2 linked regions of the Rhinolophus ferrumequinum genome follow. The protein of the gene in region 2 purifies or fractionates together with the protein of the main gene of each other region. This does not show direct contact. Links are inferred from orthologs where the notes say so. Each region holds a gene or a part of one and is shown on either strand. Other genes may lie near its edges.

What was found.
Region 1: the proteins of DHX15 (region 2) and GCFC2 purify together in Homo sapiens (co-immunoprecipitation; 3 studies listed by BioGRID and IntAct, with this or other methods). This does not show direct contact. The link is inferred for Rhinolophus ferrumequinum from reciprocal best matches to the Homo sapiens genes DHX15 and GCFC2.

What each region holds. Positions count from the first base shown.
Region 1 is NC_046296.1:16,597,402-16,606,443, reverse strand, and holds the start of GCFC2 (intron Large complex component GCFC2), read right to left. Parts: upstream 4,070-9,042; 5' UTR 3,904-4,069; coding exon 3,621-3,903; intron 687-3,620; coding exon 561-686; intron 1-560.
Region 2 is NC_046288.1:71,715,565-71,725,440, reverse strand, and holds the start of DHX15 (ATP-dependent RNA helicase DHX15), read right to left. Parts: upstream 4,140-9,876; 5' UTR 3,968-4,139; coding exon 3,900-3,967; intron 1-3,899.

The sequences.
Region 1 (9,042 bases), on a different chromosome or scaffold from region 2:
GTAATTTGCTGACTCCTGAACTGGACTGATTTTTCTAATACACAAAAATGGCCATGTCATCAAGTTGCATAAAATTTTCAGTAGTTCCCCCAAGCCCTGTATTATCTGACTCCAATTTGTCCCTCTGCTTGCTTTCTTTTTGTTCCTTTCTTAAACTCCAAGCTCATATTTTCAGTCCAACATCTATTTTTAGTTCTCTACATATGCTATGTTATCTTCCCTAGAGTTTTATACATGTTACATCCCGTACCTGAAACTTCCTCACTGACAAATTCTTACTATCCTTCAGATATTGGCATGAATCACCAAATATAGTACATTGGTTCTGTACCAGATTGTGGGTTTGAATCTTAGCTCTACCTCTTAGCAGCTGTCTGAACTTGGGCATGTTATGTAATGGAAATGAGCAGTCAATTTTGGCAGTCTGACAATCATTAGTAATGACTTACTTGCCCCATACTTCACGAGAATTTGTTGTGCTATCAATAATTAAGATCACTGGTATAGAAAATACTGTGTTAGAAATAGAGTTCTTAAATAAAAATCACAAAATTACCAACCTATTGATGAAAATTCTTCTTCTAGAGAGCTAGAGCTATCGGAAGATGAACTCTGATCATCCTTACTTTCTGAGGAATGATGTGTTCCGTTCTCTTCATCTGTTGAAAGATCAACTGTTCCGGATTCTAACAGGACATTTTTTAAATATAACAAAAAAGAGTCAAGATATTGAAATTAATAATTATGAGCAACATATGGCATATGTATAAGATGGTGTTTTAATTTTACTCCACAAGCTTAAAGTAGATATATAGCTCTTTTTCCGACTTTCATTCTTTCTGAAACCAAAGGATGGTCTGAAAAATGTACAGTTTCCCCATTTGTACTATCTGCTTATTTAGTACAATAAGTCCTTTAAAGGATGCACTGAGGAGGGGGAAGGGAACATTAGAGAAAAAGTGAAGGAATATTTAAAATAAGAAAAGAAAAATAGTTGTAGTGAATAAGTAGAAAAAGAAAAAATACTAATGCACACTTAATATGTTAGGCACATTGAAATCCTGTTTTACAAGGTTTATTTAGTTTAATATTCACAATTCTATAAAGTAAATACTATTACTGAGGAGGATTAGTGTCCTTATCAGGATTGGAGAGGCTAAATAACATGTCTAGTGTCACAAAGTAAGTGGAGAAGTAGGGCTTTCAACCAAATTTCATCCAACTCTGAATTTACACTTTCTTTATGCATTTTATGTCATATTTCAGTGGCTGGTGGCAAGAACTACTGTAATGAGCATTATAGTCTCAAGTTAAATCATGTATCTATTTCCATTGTGTGATTTTGGGAAGGACACTTAATCTGTCAATTAATCTATTAAACAAAGATAACAATAAGAGATAATACCCATAGGGATGTTGTGAGAATTGAATGAACAAAATGTTAAGGAATTCATGGTTATTATTGACAACAAAGGATTTGTTAGTTCACAATTATTTTGTAATTTTTATGAATAACCTTACAATTTAAGATTACATAAATAATACTCTTTGTCTTAAAACTTTCCTTAAGTGGAAGACCTACATACAGCCCGAAAAAGTCTTTAGATCAAAACTTAAAAGACAAAGGAACATAGCTGCAGCTTACATCTTTCAAGTTGCTGCTATTTATGTTAACTCCTACCTGTTCTCAAAATGGATTAACTCCAGAGAAGAGGTTTTCAGAGTATGGTCCATCAACCCTTGGAGGTCTCTGTGACCTCTCAGAGGGTCTGTGAAGTCAAAATTCTTTTCATCATTATACTAACATTTTTTTTTTTTTTTGCCCCGTTTACTCTGTTGATATTTACATAATGAAGTAGAAGCACTGGTGAGTAAAACTGCAGGCCTCTTAATATGAATCAAGACAGTGACACCAATATGTGGTAGCAACCACCGTATTTCTTCAACCATACATTGATGGGGAAAAAAGCCAGTTTCGCTTATGGTCCTCACTAAAGCAATAAAAACTGTTAATTTGATTAACTCTTGACCCTAGAATATGCATCTTTTTAATAATTTGTGGAACAAAATGGAAGCGTGCACAAAGCACTTCTGGGACGTACTGAAATGCAATGGTCGCCTCAAGGAAAAGCACCTGTGTAGTCTGCAAGTTGAACTAGCCACTGTCTTTGAGGAGGAACACCATTTCACTTGAAACGAATGACAAACTAGTTATTTGACGTGGATATATCTAACAAACATTTTTTTCAAAAGTGAGCAAAGTTGTGCCTATCACTTTAAGAATTAGAGATTTCAAGTGAAAACTGGAATTTCGGAAAACTTATGTTCTCCACTGTGAACTTGATAAATTTCCAATACTTAAAGACTGATGACATCAGTAAGAGGTTTTTGGGGTCTTTTTTTTGATATTGGATAATAAAGTATACCAACATTTGCAAGACCTGAAAACTCAGTGAACCAATACTTTTTGAACAGTCAAAGCATGATGTTACCAACCACGCATAGGGAAAAGATCCATTCAAAATATACAGCAGAACAGTGGATTTTAATAAAAGCAATGCCACTCTTACTGTTTTTTGGAAAACAGTTATTTTTCACAAAAATATGTTCCTTATCCTTATGTGTAATGAGGTAATTAAAAATGAATTATTAAACATGTATCTTAATTTTTAAATATGGTACATATTGATAGATATAATCCACTGAAACAAAAGATCATTAGGATCGTTAGTCATTTTTAGGAGTATAAAGGAAGTAGTAAGACCAAAAGGTTTGAGAACCACTTTAGAAGGCAAGAGAAAAGGCAACTCCTGGTCTCAATTCTCCCTATTAAAGTTTAATCAGATAACTTACAAAAAATAGAACAATATAAAAAGTTATCCGAAATTTAGACAAAACTAAGAAATCACTGAGAATCGTGGACTATAAATAGTGGGGAGAAAAATTTTAACCTTAAGACTAACCGAAAACTGCGTTTTTATAGAACACATTCAATGCAAACAACTTATGCTGCTTGAATCCTACATTTAAGGACGCAAAGATAGTTAACAATTACTACACTGTATTTAACGCCATTATTGGTACGGTCGACAGCGTCATCAATCTTTTGTTACTTAACTGACATGTACTGTTATTTTTCTTATCTGTTTTCGCAAATAACAGATGAAAAGGAAAATAGGCACAAGAAAATGTCTCAAAAGCCCGTCACCTACGTTCTTCTAACGTATTATTCCGGCTAAGTGTTTCCTAGAAAAATAATTGGGGACAGTTCCAAAAGGTACGTGTACCTGTCTTCTACCTAAGAGTCTTACAAATTTTAACTCTTTTGTGGCGATTTAACATAATCAAATACTGCACTAAAGCTGTAATTGGTGGTGGTCCATCTGATGGCGCAAACCCAGACGAGCCCGCAAACGTACAGCATTCTTACTACTGCCCCAGCGTCCTATGTGGAGATGCGGACAGCGGGCGCGGGCTCGCAGGCAGGCTGTCATGCTATTTCCGCGAATCAGCCTTGCTTCGGTCAGCACCACGTTATAGAAACCTCTAGAGAAACCCGCCGGCCTCTTCCCGCCCCCTCAGCTCGTCGCTTTGGGCGCCCACCCGCCGATCCGCGTCACCTGGGACGTCCGAGCCACCGTCCGCGCGAAGAGCCGCTCTCGTAGCGCGCCGAGAACTCGCCCAGACCCGGCCGCGGCCCCGGCCCGGGCCCCGGCCTCGAGGGACCCGGACTCGATGGGCCCGTTCCGCTGCCTCTGTGCGGCCTCCTCCCGGGGGCGGCCCGTCCTCCGCAGGGCCCGGGGCTGCCTGCTCCCCGGGTTCAGCAGATGGCTCCTCTGCGCCGTCGCTGTCACTAGAGTCGGCTCGGCGCTGTCGGAAAGTCCTTTTCGGCCTGTGAGCCATGGCAGAGGTCCAGATGCCTTCAGCGGGTTCTTTTCCGGCCCACGCCAACCCAGGTCAACGACGTCCACTCAGGCGCGCGCTCCTCCCTTCCTCCGGACCGACGCGTGCGCGCGCCCGTCCAGTGCACCGTCGACTCACGCTTCACCCTGCGCATGCGTGCTTTGCCTCCTCGGCTCTGCTACACCGAGATAGGTTCACTGCGCGCGGGTCTAAGGATGCAAAGTGTTTTATTTGCGTGGCCAGCTTGTACAGAAGATCGTTCAGCGATTCCCGCAGACCTCTCGTACTGCCTGCTATGGACAGCATCACTCACAGGCTCTCGTTGTGCAAACCCTATCTGGGGAGTCGCGATGCCCGCGTCCTGGACTGGAAGCGGATCACCTGTTTTCTCCTTTATGGAGAGAGCAAAGTTTTTTCTCCAACCAAGAATTAAAACAAACAAACAAAAAGGAGTGTGTGTGTGTGTGTGTGTGTGTGTGTTGCTTCTGAGAGCTAAACAGTAAAATCTACGCATAGATAATAGGCGCACAAATAAGGAAAACAAACAAACAAAAAAATCAAATGATAGCTTCCAGGCTTCAACAGAACCTGGTTAAATGCTTTGGTCCTCAAAAAATATTGCATCTGGAAAAAAGGGGGTGCTATTTAGAAAGACACTCAGATAAAAAGGACGGCTAAAGCAAACTTGGACTATGTCCATTAAGCACTGTCGAGGTTTGGGGGGAGGGAGGGAGGGAGAGAGAGAGAGAGAGAGAGAGAGAGAGAGAGAGAGAGAGAGAGAGAGAGAGCCTTCACCGTGGACTCTGAATTGTTGGTTCCCTTGGTAAAACCCATTCTTGCTTGGGTGCCTCTGAACATATCCATTTGGGGCAAATAAACATTCAGTTCATTTAATTCCTCTTGCTGGGGTCTGCTGTATGTGTTACGTTTCGTTCACTGCTTTAAATTTCAAGAAGACTTTCCCAGAGGTTCATAGAAAGGATTATTTTAAGGGATAAATTTCCAGATACTTGACTCAGAAAGGGAGACGTTTATTTAAGTGTGATGTTGACATTCCAGGAGGCTGTCCTTTCCCCTCAACTGTCACCAATTCACAAACTGTGTCCAACTGAAATGTGACTTCATTGTTTTCAGCTAGGTTCAAAGCCTTCAGCTGATGTGGGCTACTTGCTTACTTCCTCATTTTAAACTACACTGCCTCCACAGGTAGGGCTCCACAGGTGGGGCCCTCCACAGGTAGGGCCCTTACTCACCTTGATACGCCCATACTTAGTGTAGATCCTAACTCAGAGTATTCATGGAATGAACATGAATTCAGTGAACTAAATGTGTGGATGAGGCGATTCTGAAACCCGAAAACAAATCCCTCTGTTTAACATGTTGGATGCAAATATGTTAGCTGACAGGTGATGTACTACTGAGACAGAAAGAAAAACTTATTTAAAACATAAACCAAATATTTGTTCTAATGTAGAGAAGTGAGATAAGTGGTTTTCTCTGGGTATGGCCTGGATAGAAGAGGATGAAATAGACAGCATTTGTTTAATACAGGGAGGGAAACGCTGGATTTCCTCCTCTGACCCCAGGGAAAGCAGCGTAAAGGCTCCAGGGTAGAGTTGTTACATTTAGAAAAAAATATAGGGTATCTAATAAAATTTGAATTTCAGATAAACAAGGAATAATTTTTTTTAAAAGATTTTATTGGGGAAGGGGAACAGGACTTTATTAGAGAACAGTGTTTATTTCCAGGACTTTTTCCAAGTCAAGTTGTTTTCCTTTCAATCTTAGTTGTGGAGGGTGCCATTCAGCTTCAAGTTGTTGTCCTTTCAGTCTTAGTTGCAGGGGGCGCAGCCCACCATCCCTTGCAGGACTCCAGGACTTGAACCGGCTACCTTGTGGTGGAGAGCTCACTGGCCCATGTGGGAATCTAACCGGCAGCCTTCGGAGTTAGGAGCACGGAGCTCCAACCTCCCGAGCCACCGGGCCGGCCCAAAGAATAATTTTTTTACTATAAGTAAGTCACATCTAATATTTGGGACATACTTGTATAGAACATCTTGGAACCCTAATCTATGATGAAGAGAAATGTGGAAAAAATTTCAAGGTTAGAGTCTTGCAACCTGGGGCTGGTAGTGCTTCTGGAACCTGAGGAATAGTGCTGGTCAGTGAGAAGTTCCCATTTGCAGGGGGTAGGTGGAAAAGGAACTTTTAAGACATAGTGCTGTTTCCCCTCAAGCCTTTAGTAAAACTTTGCTTCACGCAGATTTGAGTTAACACTGCTGTTGGGAATAAAGGACTCATCAGCTGAGGTCACGATGGTGGCAGTACCTTTGTGATGAGGAAAGGTGATGGCTCTTCAATTTCTGAGGTGAGAGTGAGAGAAGAGATGTAGTGGATGACAGGAGAGAAGCAGGCTGCTGAGCACACTGGCTTAGGATTTGCTATGAGATAGTCCCTTTCCCCAACTTTAAAGGGGGTAAATGCTTCACAGAATTATGCATGGAGACAGGAAAAGAGCAGCCAGACAGCAAGAATTGTATTTCCCCAAATAGCCTTTCTGAGTACTTGTAATCATCACTACCTTATTTTATTTGCTCTTTCTCATGAATGCTAGTTATTTTCCCCCAAGAGGACAAAGACAATGACACATCTCTTATTAGACCTACACCATACTTATTTTAATACTAGCTTGTTAAATCAATTGACTTTCAGGACACTTTGCATTATTCACCTCTTATATAATTTAAAACTGCAGAGGTTAATAATTGAAGAAAATACGCATATGAAAAAAATTCCAACTTCTGGAAATAGATGTCATATTTACTCACAGACCAGTTTTCCCCTGAAGTGAAATGGACATTTTATTCAACTTCTCTTGCCTTTGATCCGTGAGTTTTGAGCTCCCTCTAGTGAGAAATATGTTACTTACAGAAGGATTGTGTCAATCTTTTGGAAATTGGCTTGTTATTAAAGAGCTATTTTTTCATTCTCTCTTGTTAGAAATAATGGTCTTATTTTCATTTTTAAGCCAACCTATGTCAAACTTTCTCAGAGGACAAAATTTTGGAAAGTCATGTTTATAATTAAACATGACTTAATTAAACATGATAAAGAAAGAATCATTCTTTCTTTTGGGAATTAAAAAAAATATTATGGAAATTCATCTAAAATATGGACTTAATTGTGCTTTCATTTTTACAGCATCTATTCTTTGTTTTTTTGAGCTCTTACTATGATGGGCAACTTGTGCTGGGACCAGGAGGTCCTGTTCCCAATGTTCGCATGCTATTAGCAAAGTTAGCCCTACAGGTTGGCTTATTGAAAATTAAAAAATTGTAGTAAAAACACTCAACATAATATTTACCCTCTTAACCAAATTTTAAGTGTACAGTGCAGTATTGTTAATTATAATGTTGTATAACAGATCTCTAGAACTTCTTCATTTTGTTTAACAGAATATTTATACCTGCTATACATCAACTCCCCATTACTCCTCCCCTAGCCCCTGGCAACCACCATTCTCCTTTCTGCTTCTATGAATTTGTCTATTTTAATACCTCATATAAGCAGAATCATGCAGTATTTGTCAGTCTGTGACTTAGTATAATGTCCTCAAAGTTCATACATGTTGTTGCATGTACCAGGCATTCCTTCTTTTCTAAGGCTGAATAATGTTTCATTGTATGTAAATAACACATTTTCTTTATCCATTTATTGAACAATGGGCATTTAGGTCATTCCGACATCTTGGCTATTGTCTTTTTTTATGATTTTTTATTACAATATAGCTAACATACAACGTTACACTAATTTCATGTGTACATCATAGTTATTCAACGGTACCCACCTAGCACTACACAGAGTTATTACTACATTATTGATTATATTCCCTATGCTAAAGAAATGATCACCATGGTAAGTCCAGGTGATTTGACACTATACCACGCTATCACAATATTATTGATCTTCCCCCCTTTTTAAAATTTTCAATTAGAGTTGACATTCAATGTTATTTTATATTAGTTTCAAGTGTATAGCTTAGTGGTTAGACATTTATGTAATTTAGGAAGTGATCCCCCTGACTAGTACCACTTGGCACTATACATAGTTAGTACCATATTATTGATTATATTGCCTATACTTTAAAACCCCATGACTATTTTGTAACTACCAAGTTGTATTTCTTATTCCCTTCAACTTTTTTACCCTCAGACACCCCTCCCATCTATCACCCTGATAGTCTAGTACCCATCTGACACCATACCTAGTTATTACAATATTATTGACTGTATTCCTTAAGCTATACCCTACAACTCCATGACTACTGCATAACAACAAGGTTGTACTTCTTAATCCCTTCCTCTTTTTCACCCACTCCCAACCCTCCTCCCATATGGCAACCATCAAAATGGTCTTTGTATCTATAAGTTTGTTTCTGTTTCATTTATTTATTTTGTTCTTTGGATTCCACTTATAAGTGAAATCACACATTTTTCTTTAGCTGTCTGACTTATTACACTCAGCACAGTAGCCTCTAGGTCCATCCATGTTGTTGTAGACAGATGCCAAGATTTCCTTCTTTTTTTTTTTATGGCTGAGTAATAATATTCCATTGTATATATGTACCACCTCTTTTTTATCCATTCATCCATTTAGGGACACCCAGGTTGCCTTCATAACTTGGTTTATGTAACTAATGCTGCAATGAACATATAAATGAACATGTCCCCTTGAAGTAACATTTTAGGTTTGTTTGGGTAAATACCCAGAAGTGGGATACTAGGTCCTTCTTTGTCTCTTGTTATAGACTTTGTTTTAAAGTCTATTTTTTGTCTGATAAAAATATTGCTGCCCCAGCTTTTGTTTGTCTGTTTCCATTTTCATGAAATATCTTTTTCCATCCCGTTACTTTCAGTCTCTGTGTGTCTTTTGATCTGAAGTGCGTCTCTTGTATGTAAGGTATGTTAAGGTCTTGTTTTCTTATACATTCAGCCCTCCTATCTTTTGATTGGAGCATTTAATCCATTTACTTTGAAAGTAATTGTTGACAAGTATGTAGTTATTGCCACATTAGTATTCATATTTTTTCATTTTGTTTTCATCTTAAAGTAGTCCCTCTAAGATTCCTTGTAATACTGG
Region 2 (9,876 bases):
AAAGAAGTTTTACTGTTACGAATATTTTCTATTTAAGGTATAATGCTTAAAAACTATCAAAGCAGTGCTTTATAATCACTTAGCCATAACCTGGCAGGTAGAGACACAATATGAGTTGAACACATGGTTCTATACTGTCGCAGCTCAATCCTAGCTCAGCACTTAAGCTAACTATATGACCAGTTATTTTTCCCTCAACTATGAAATGTGGCTATTCATATGTCATGTGGAATATTTCAAGAATTAAAACGAATTAATATATGTAGTGCTGGAACATAGTAAATGACCAATACATATTGCTTATCATTCAAGGTTTTGAAAAATTTACACCACCATGTTAAAATTCCACATGGAACAACAGAAACTAAATTACTGCTAATTAAAATGTAAACTGGTCATCAAAATCAAAATCAGAATATTTAAAATAAGTACTGCTTTGTATCTGGCAATCTCATTCCCAGGAACTTCTCTTAAGACTATAAATATGCAAATATGTACACATACGATGTTCACCACTTTTCATTTATAAAACAATGAAGACTGGGACACTACCAAAGCATCACTGAACAGGAAATTGGTTGTTACAATAGCCCTTTATTAGTGGAATACTATACAGCCAATGAAAAGGATGTGTTATCTATTCTACAGTTTATTACATATTTAAGTGACTAAAAATCAAAGCAGAAAACACACTGAAAAATCCCACTGATATTACATACCGTATTTCCCCGAATGTTAAGACTAGCCAGACAATCAGCTCTAAAGTGTCTTTTGGAGCAAAAATTAGTATAAGACCCGGTCTTATATAAGTAAATTAGTAAATTGCAGCTTGTACTTTACCTGGTCTTTACTATTATAAGACTATAAGTCTTATACTATTTTAAGTCTTTATAAGTCTTTACTATTTTACTATAAGTCTTATAGTAAAATAAGACCGGGTCTCATATTAATTTTTGCTCGAAAAGACACATTAGAGCTGATTGTCCAGCTAGGTCTTATTTTCGGGGAAACACGGTATTATAGTTCATTATGTATGAATAAATATTCAAAAACCTTTAAAAAAGTTCATCAAAGGATTAAAGATAGGGATGAAAATTTCATGGAAATTTTTTGCCTTTTGGTTATATCTTCATGTATATGGACATTCTTGTGTTCCCCAGGGCAAGTTACTTAACCTCACCTATATCACAGGAATTGTAGTGAAAATGTGCTTATACATATAAAGCACCTAAATAGTTTCGGGAACATAGTTACATACAGTGGTACCTAGGTTTTTGAGCATTTCAGAACTCGGTCGTCCGGAACGGATTACGTTTGAAAACGGAGGTACCACTATATTTTACATGTTATTGTATCAGTGTATTTGTTTTACATTTCCACAATTAACAGGAAAAGTACTTATCAGGAATTAATCAGAAACTAAGACCAAAGTGAAAAATGTTCTATTTTCAAAAAGTTTTTTCCACACTTCAATAAGTAGTTGTCTTCTGCATAATTTAATATAGAAATTTTTGTGGGATGATGGAAAAGGAATACCATCAGTTTGCAACAGAAACCTTCAACTTCTCCACCTGACCCCAAAACTAAAATATACCAGGAGTAAATAAAACTATACATAGTGTGGGAACTTGAAACTGAGTGAAATCTCCCACTAAATTATTTTCCGTTCTCAGTATTGGGGAAATGGTACAGCCATGTTTGGCAATGAAGTTCACAAGACAAGCCTACCCTCTCAAATAAAGCCACTTGCTAACTGTCAAGGCTTAAAAAAACTGCAAAACAGCATGTCTGTGAAAAGAGACTTTCAAGTTATAAAATATGGGGGGGAGCAGGGGGAACCCAAGCACTAAAACGTTGTAAGCTCAGTTAAAGAAAATTAGTTCTGAGAAATGACATTCAGATGACACAGAAATGAGTATATAAATGTCCCCCCAGAATTATCTCAGAACTTGGGCTTTATTACAGGTAGATGTCAGACATAGAAAGTCCACATTTTTTACTAAGGGTATCAGTTTTGCAAGAGAAAGGGAACCCATGGGACCACTAATCCCAAGAAAAGTATTTAAATGTTGCACACCCACAAATATGAATAAATGAATTCATTCCCTCCTAGTGTACTTTGTTTCAATCTGAACTCTTATGAGAGAAGTCAGATGACGTCTTGCATTTTACCCAGATGACAAGCAATTTATCTTTGCTTCACAGGAACCAAGAGTCCCCTACTTTAGTGACCCATAAATGTCATTAAATTAGGTTGTCATGACTCTTAAATACAGTCATAGTCTGTAGTGTAATAGAAAAAGCAAGAAGCTAAGAGTGCAAATGAAAAGATCAAGGTTCTAAATCCAGCTGTGAACTGGGTTAAGGTTGCACAAGCCACCTTAACAACTCTGGGTCTTCCTTTCTCATCCCTTCAGTGGAGCTGATTATACTCTCTTTTAAAGTCACTTGCAACTCTAAACAGTCTGAGGCAAGGAGTTCTAAATGTGCTAAAGTTTTGCTGAGGGTGTGGGGAGGGAGGGAAGAGGAGACAACCTAAAAAGAGAGAAAACTAAAGTCTAACATTGTAAACTAAAAATTTTACAAGATTAAAACATTACCTATTTCTGCTTTCCATATTCACTATATGGGAAGGGATCAAAAAGTACACCCTATCCTGGTTTATACACTCACTAGACAGATACCTGGAAACCAATGCAAATGCACTTTGGGTGAAAAAAAAATTCACAAAAGTTATAAAGATGATTTGGCACCGTGATTCTGAACACGTGCACACAATAAAACGGTAAAAATACCTGAATTATCCGAGTAAAACACTGTACTTCAGGAATGAAAACACACTGGACAAGAAATGATTTTGATGCAATTGCTGAAGTCTATTCATCTGTATCTTTAATGAACGTTAAGGGAAAGGAATCTGAGACACCACCACTCCATTTCAACTCTCAACCTCCCCACGTGCGATATTTTGCCATCAATGCTAAAAATTTTTTTTTGAAAAGGGTCTTCTTGTTGCAAAAACTAGTTATGCAGGAAGGCGGGAGGACAGAAATCAAGAATTTATTGGAAAAGAAATAATGCCTTTTAATTCCTATCCCAGGAATGCCCAATACCCAGTTTTAGCCAAAGCAGGAAATAAAGGAGATGGCGGGAGCATAAGCAGAGAGCGGAAGTTTGCCTAGTATCTACTTTGAAGTCTTTGAATGGACCGAGGCACGCGCTCTCCCGCGAAAGTATAAACTCAGTGGCTCCATACGACCAGCCTTCCTGCCCATCAGGTATATTCCACGTTTTCCTTTCTCCCGGCAGGCCTTCTATTCTCCCTTCCCCCGGCAACTCCTCGTCTGCACGCTTCATTCAACTCCCGCTACCCCCATCCCAGTCAAAAAGAAGAATCCACGCGTTTCTCTCACTTTCCGCCCTCCTCCTTTCCCCTAGGTGGGCACCCACCCGCCCCCAAGGCCCTCTCCGCGGCCCCTCAGCCTGGTAAGTACCTGGTGCCCTTGGAAGCGAATACTCCCGCCGCGCCCTCCCCCATCCCCTCCCCCGGTTCCAGGCCTTACCCGGGAACCCAGGCCACGAGGTCCGCGGTTTCCTCCCGCCCGCTCCCCTCCAAGTGACTCGTTTGGCAGGGTCCGGGGAGGCGCCCTCGTGGCCACGACAGGCCTCTCCACCCTTCCGACTGGGCCCGGCGGCGGCCGCGCAACACCTCTCCCCGCGCCCTTGCCCAGCCGAACCCCGGGAGTGGCGCCGCTCGCTCAACCCGCCAATGAACCCAGCCTAAAGAGAAACAAAAGGCCGGGCTCCAGGCCCCGCTTGGCCAGGCCGGCCTTGGTCCGCTTCCCGCCGGGACCCCAACAAAGCCCGAGCCTCTGCCTCGCGCCCCGGGCCTGGCTTACCCATCGGTCCCCGCACGCTTCTTGCCGGAGTAATCCTCCCCCAGATCCAACCGGTGCCGCTTGGACATCTTCGGACTCTTCGAGCGGGCGGTTATGAAGGAAGAAAAAAAGAAAAACTGGCGGCCTAATCAGCGCAGTCGACAACAGCTACTTAACTCTGGAGGACCCCCACCCCTCCCGCACCACAGCCTACACGGCGCGGCCGGAACCAGGAGCTAAAATGGCGGCGGCGACGAGGGCTGGGCCGGCGTGCGCGCTCCCGCAGCGTGCTGTGCGTGCGTGGTGAGCGCGCACGCATCGGAGGCGGGAACTCCAGATCCGCCCAATTTCCTTCCCGCCGGCCTCCGCTCTCTTCCTGGTACCAGCTTTAGGCCGTTCGAGCGGCTGCTAAGTCGGCTGTCCCCGCGTAGCCTTCACGCCCCTGTCTGATGTGAAGAAATTGAGAGAGGTGAAAGATCAGTTCTAGGTAGGAAATCCTGTCCATTTGTATTGCCCTGGCATTAGGGGAGTCTGAGACCCAGGGAGTTTGAGAAACCCAGATCATATGGCTGATACCGGGCAGAGCCAGGATTGGAACCTATGGTAACTATTTTGTAACTCCAGTTCTAGAACTTGAAGCCACTAACCACTCAGTGTCAGTGAAGAAACTGAAGTGAGAAAAATGTCAAAACTTGCCATAATCCATTTTGCCCTTTTCTCTCTCTCTTTTTTTTTAACCTAGTATGGACTGTATGTTCTCAACCTATTGATGTTTTTTTTTTAATGTGGAATAGAGAAAATTGCTGACAGTAAGGACATAATTAGCTTTTTGTTTTCCTGTGTGCCTGTTATGAACTTGTGGTAACCCTACCTCTACCCTTATTCTTACAGTCACCCTGGCAAGGTAGGTGTCATTTTATAGATGTGGACCCTAAGGCAGAGGGAAGTTAAGAAGTCACACAGCCATTAGTGCTGTCCCTAAAGTCATAGACAATCGTTAAGGTAAGATGACTCTTAGCACTTTAATGGATCTCTCCCCCAGACTATCTGCTTACTCAGTTGCATTCATTCCCAGAAGAAATACATAAAAGAAAGATCTGTGGACCAACCGAAGCTGGGTGATCTATGTAGTTCATGAAATGGATGTTTGGATGCCCTGGAAGACCATAACCAGGTTCTTATCAAATCCTCAGAACTGCAACCGCTAAGGTTAAATACAACCTTAATACTGCAACTGATAAAGAGGGTTTTTATTTTTGTACCTAATCCACATTACAAAATCAGTACAAAGAAAGGCGAATATCTTCATTTATAAAATTTTCTGTACAACTTTTACCCTAAATGTATGTTACCGTGTTTCCCCGAAAAAAAGACCTAACCGGAAAATAAGCCCTAGCATGATTTTTCAGGATGACATCCCCTGAACATAAGCCCTAATGCGTCTTTTGGAGCAAAAATTAATATAAGACCCGGTCTTATTTTAAGGGAAACACGGTAGCAGTATATTGACTTGTCAGGGGTCATGTTGCATAATCACTGAATTGTAAACCTGGAAAAGAGTTTCCAGCTGATTTTCCCTTCTTAGCTCATATTACAAATGAGCCCCTAGGTCATGCCCACGTTCACACAGGCAATTGGTGTCAAAGTCAGAATTAAAATCCAGATTTCACTCTTCACTACTCCAGTCCCAGATATCTAGGTTCCCAGTTTGAGGGCAACTATAAAGTACTCCAAAATTTTGGAGAAAAAAATGAGGGAAAAGGTTAGAATTCCACCTGAAGAAGTGCTCTACCCTTAGAGGCATCAGCCTCTCATAAATGTGCAAGGAGACTTGGTAAAGGAGGAACCGAAGTCAAGATGAAGAGACTTTCTCCTTGGGCTTAGCGTATATCCCTAGAAAACTGTAACCTAACCAATTGTGTTGTAACTGAAGTGGCCATATTTACCAAAGGATAGAGACCCTTCTGGAATCTGTAAGGGGAACAACGGGCCAGAATCTGCCAGGATGTTCACTCTCTCTGAGGAAGGGCAAAGTTCTGGGTCTAAATGATCCATTCTAGATTTTCAGAGCAAATGGTCCCTGGAATAAAGAAGAGCCATCTACCAGCCCCCGTACAGCCTCAGAGCCCAGTTTTTTCCCCTAAGCCTACTTTCATCTTTTTCCTTTCACTGGTGTTGATCCTAAATACTCCTTAATAAACTTCCTGTGCACTAGTCCTTGCTTCGAAGTCTACTTTTCATGGAACCCAACCAAAAAGATTTGGTGCTAGGAATGGCCCAAGAAAGCAGAGTCTATGATTGGATTTTGGACCTGGCCACCCATTGGTGGCCGGCAATGACTTAGTGATGGCAGGTAGAACATAGTTACCACTATGTAGAACATAGTTACCACATAGTTGCCAATTGCAGGGCAATTGTTAAAATTTCACCCCCCGTGGTGTACTGGGAAAGACCATGCACTGTTTTCAAAGTATGGAGGAAATAATAACTATAAGAACATCGGAATTTGATTGACTGTTGCTAAGTGGACTTGATACTTTGGAGAGAGATAATGAAAGGCTGAGAGTAATTAATCTGCAATTCAAAATTAAGTGGGAAAGCTAGAAGACCTTCTGGGAGCAAATAAACAGATTCTCATCTCCTGCAGTGGAAAGACAAAGAAAAATGATGACCAATCCCAGGACTTAAATATAACAGTTTCATAAGGCCAAGTGGAAACTTACAATGAAGATTAAATTCTCCACTTAGACAGGCATGATACGTCAAGGTTAGGGCCCTCATTGAGAAAGGGTGCACCTCTGACACCTGGGAGTGGGATATTTAGGTTGATAGACCTGAAAAATCTTGAATTCCTAAATTCCCTTCAACCTGGTGAGCTTGTCAAAATGCCCTGCTCTTCCCTATTAAAAGCTAATTCTCCTTCCTTGTGAGATGATCAGAAGCCTACTCTCTGAGACATAATATGCACCTCCCTCAAGATATACCCCTACTTACCCTGCTGACCAGTAGGCAAAAATTAGGGTTAAGTCACAACATAGAATATTCCAGGGACATCCTAGGGCTGATAGTATTGGAAAATGACTCCAAAGAAGCTGTAGGATCTAACCATCAGGTACCAGCAGGAGCCAAGAAAGTATGCATGGGATGGAATTCTGAAGGTTCTGGATAAAGAAGGGAGGAGGGAGGTGGAACATAAAGTTAAATAAGGGAAATTTTATCAATCTGGAAGTACTTTTCCAGGATACAGGATTTAACATACACAAGAACTCCAGGCAATGGTGTAAACACACTTAGGATGTCATCTAGAAGCGTGGAAAAAGCAATGCCACAGTCACCAAGAAAGGCAGAAGTGCCAGAACTGCTGTGCATCACAGTGTAAAAGGGGGTTAAATAGCTGAAAGAAGTGAATGTGTTAGAGTGAAAATACTTACACAAAGGTGGAAAACCCAGCAGAGGAATATATTCCACAGGAAAGTTCAGAAGACATACCACTTACTGAATCCATAAAGAATTTTCTGGTGAGGGAGGCATCAACATCATTCAGAAATTCAGTGGTGGTTCTCTCTATAGTTCAGAGATGAAGGTAGAAGATGCCATTTCAGACCTGAGCTCCCTGAGAGTAGTAAAGATGAAAGGGGCCTGTAACAGAAGTAACACGGTGGCATTTCAACATCAGAAGCCAGGTGGATGCTACAAGGTAGTAGAGATGGTAAATAGGACAAGGTATCTAGAGCAAAATAGATGGGCAATCATCAAAGGATGTCCTCAATCTGAACAACCAAAATAAATCAAGAATGGATGATCAAAAGATTGAGGGCAGTTGCCCCAGTGAAAACTTGCCCAGTTTCTAGACTTGCGCCATGTCAAAAACCAAACTCTGCACACTGAGTACAACAAAGCAGAAAGATGAGTTCATTGCAAGGGTTTTGACCTATAAGCTGGGAAACCCAAGGCTACTGGAGCAATGAGTTCTGAGTTGCTCACAGACTAGTAAAAGGTTTTTATGGCGGCAAATGCAGAAGTTATTTGGTTTTTTAGTTGATTGGTTACCCAGTGGTCTCCTGCCTTATTTGGATCAGGTTAGCTGAGTCAGAGGAACATGAAAGTCCAAAGATGCATGAACAGACTTGACAGTGGAAATTGGCTGAAGTCCTCTGCTTATTTCTGAAAAGAACTGTAAATTCCTGCAACTTAGGTAAGGTTAAGTTTTGTTTTTCTTTAATGAACCCACATTAGCCAACTGCATTTTGTCCCCAACATAAGTGACTTAATTTTAGTTTTGGTTCTACGACCAGTTTTGGGACCTGGAGTACATTGATTAAGGTAACTGCCATGTCCCTAGGAGCAAGGACTACAACACGTAACATCACTGTGTGCACAGTAATAATTCTCCAAGTCCTTTCTCCAAGTGATCTATAGCCATTCTTTTAGGTAACCATACACTGGGGGAAAGAGAATATTCAAACATTTCAAGGACAATTGGATACGGAATCTGAACTGACATTGATACTGATAGACTCAAAGTGTCGTTATGGGCTCCCTGTTAGAGTGGGGGCCAATGGGAGTGTCTAACGAAGATCTGGTTCAGGTCCAGCTCATAGTAGTTTCCCTGGGTTCTCAAACCCACCCACTTGTCATGTCCCCAATCTATAAATGTACACTTAGAATAGACACTCTTAGTAGTTGGCACAACCCTCATGTTGAATTCTTGGCCTGCAAGAGGTAAGAACTATCATAGTAGGAAATGCCAAGTAGAAGCTTATGAAACTGTCCCCCTCTCCACTCCAGCCAAGATACTAAATAAAAAACCTGGGGAGGAGTTTCTGCTTATACCTCCAAGCATGTCAAGTTTAGAAATTATCACTTCCATTCTTAGAAGAAAAAGCTGGACAAACTGAAAACTAATGGCTTTTCTTGGAGCCCTTAGAAAACTGAGTTTGCAGGGTAGGCTCTCACCCTGAAGTCTGGAGAGACAGGCAAGTTCAAAGAGTGACAGCAAACATTTGCTTACCTGGAGCAAACCCGCTGGATCCATAAGCTGGTTGGAATACTCAAATGGTATCTTGACCAATCTAAAGCTGAGTCTGGACTACCTAGAGAGTGAGAAACTCCTGTGGGCCTCAGTTGTGAGGGGTGCGGGGGCTCCCTCATTCTTACGGATTTTACCTCCAGGATACCACCAAGTTTTCCCAATAAAATGCCAAGAAAGACATGCTTGTGGCTCTGGGAGAGAGAAGGGAATATGCCCAGTTCATTCTCCATAATAGGGGCTGGTTTTCGACGAGAAGAGACTACCAGATCCTGTCCTACCTGGGCATTTCTCCCACTCTAGCCCCTTCTAGCCTTCTTGTCTCACCTAAGGGAGAAAAAAAGCTGAGCTTGTAAAGGTCACAGCTCAGGAACACAGGCCCATTAAAAGACTGAGCTTCAATCATAAAATTGTAGAATACTTTCCCTCCTTACTCCTTACCACTACACCGACAGGCATCCAGTATAATAACAGTGGGTTACAGCTGAAAAAGAGCTGCAAGATGCAGGCTCCAACTGAGGAAGAATTCCTAGGGAAGCCCATCCTCAATAAGGGAGACTAAACAAGGACACCAGAGGAATTTAAAACCTCTTGCACCTACAGCTACAGCGAACACCAAACAGCCCAACTTCTAGCCGGATTAACATAAAACCTCATACTAAAGGCCTACGGTTGACTTTAGTTCCTATTACCGAATATATTCTGCAGGCTTTCAACAAAAAATTACAAGGCATGCCAAAAAAACAAAAACAAAAAACAAAAACAAAAACAAAAAACGAGAAAAAGAGACAAAGCAAGTAGTAGAACCAGACTCAGATATGACACAGATTTCAATCCAAATTCCAATCAATGTGGAATTGGAAATGGACAGAGAATGTGAAATAACTATGATTAATATGCTAAGGGCTCTAATGGAAAACGTAGATAAGGTACAAATGAAGATGGATAATATAAGGAGAGAGATGGAAA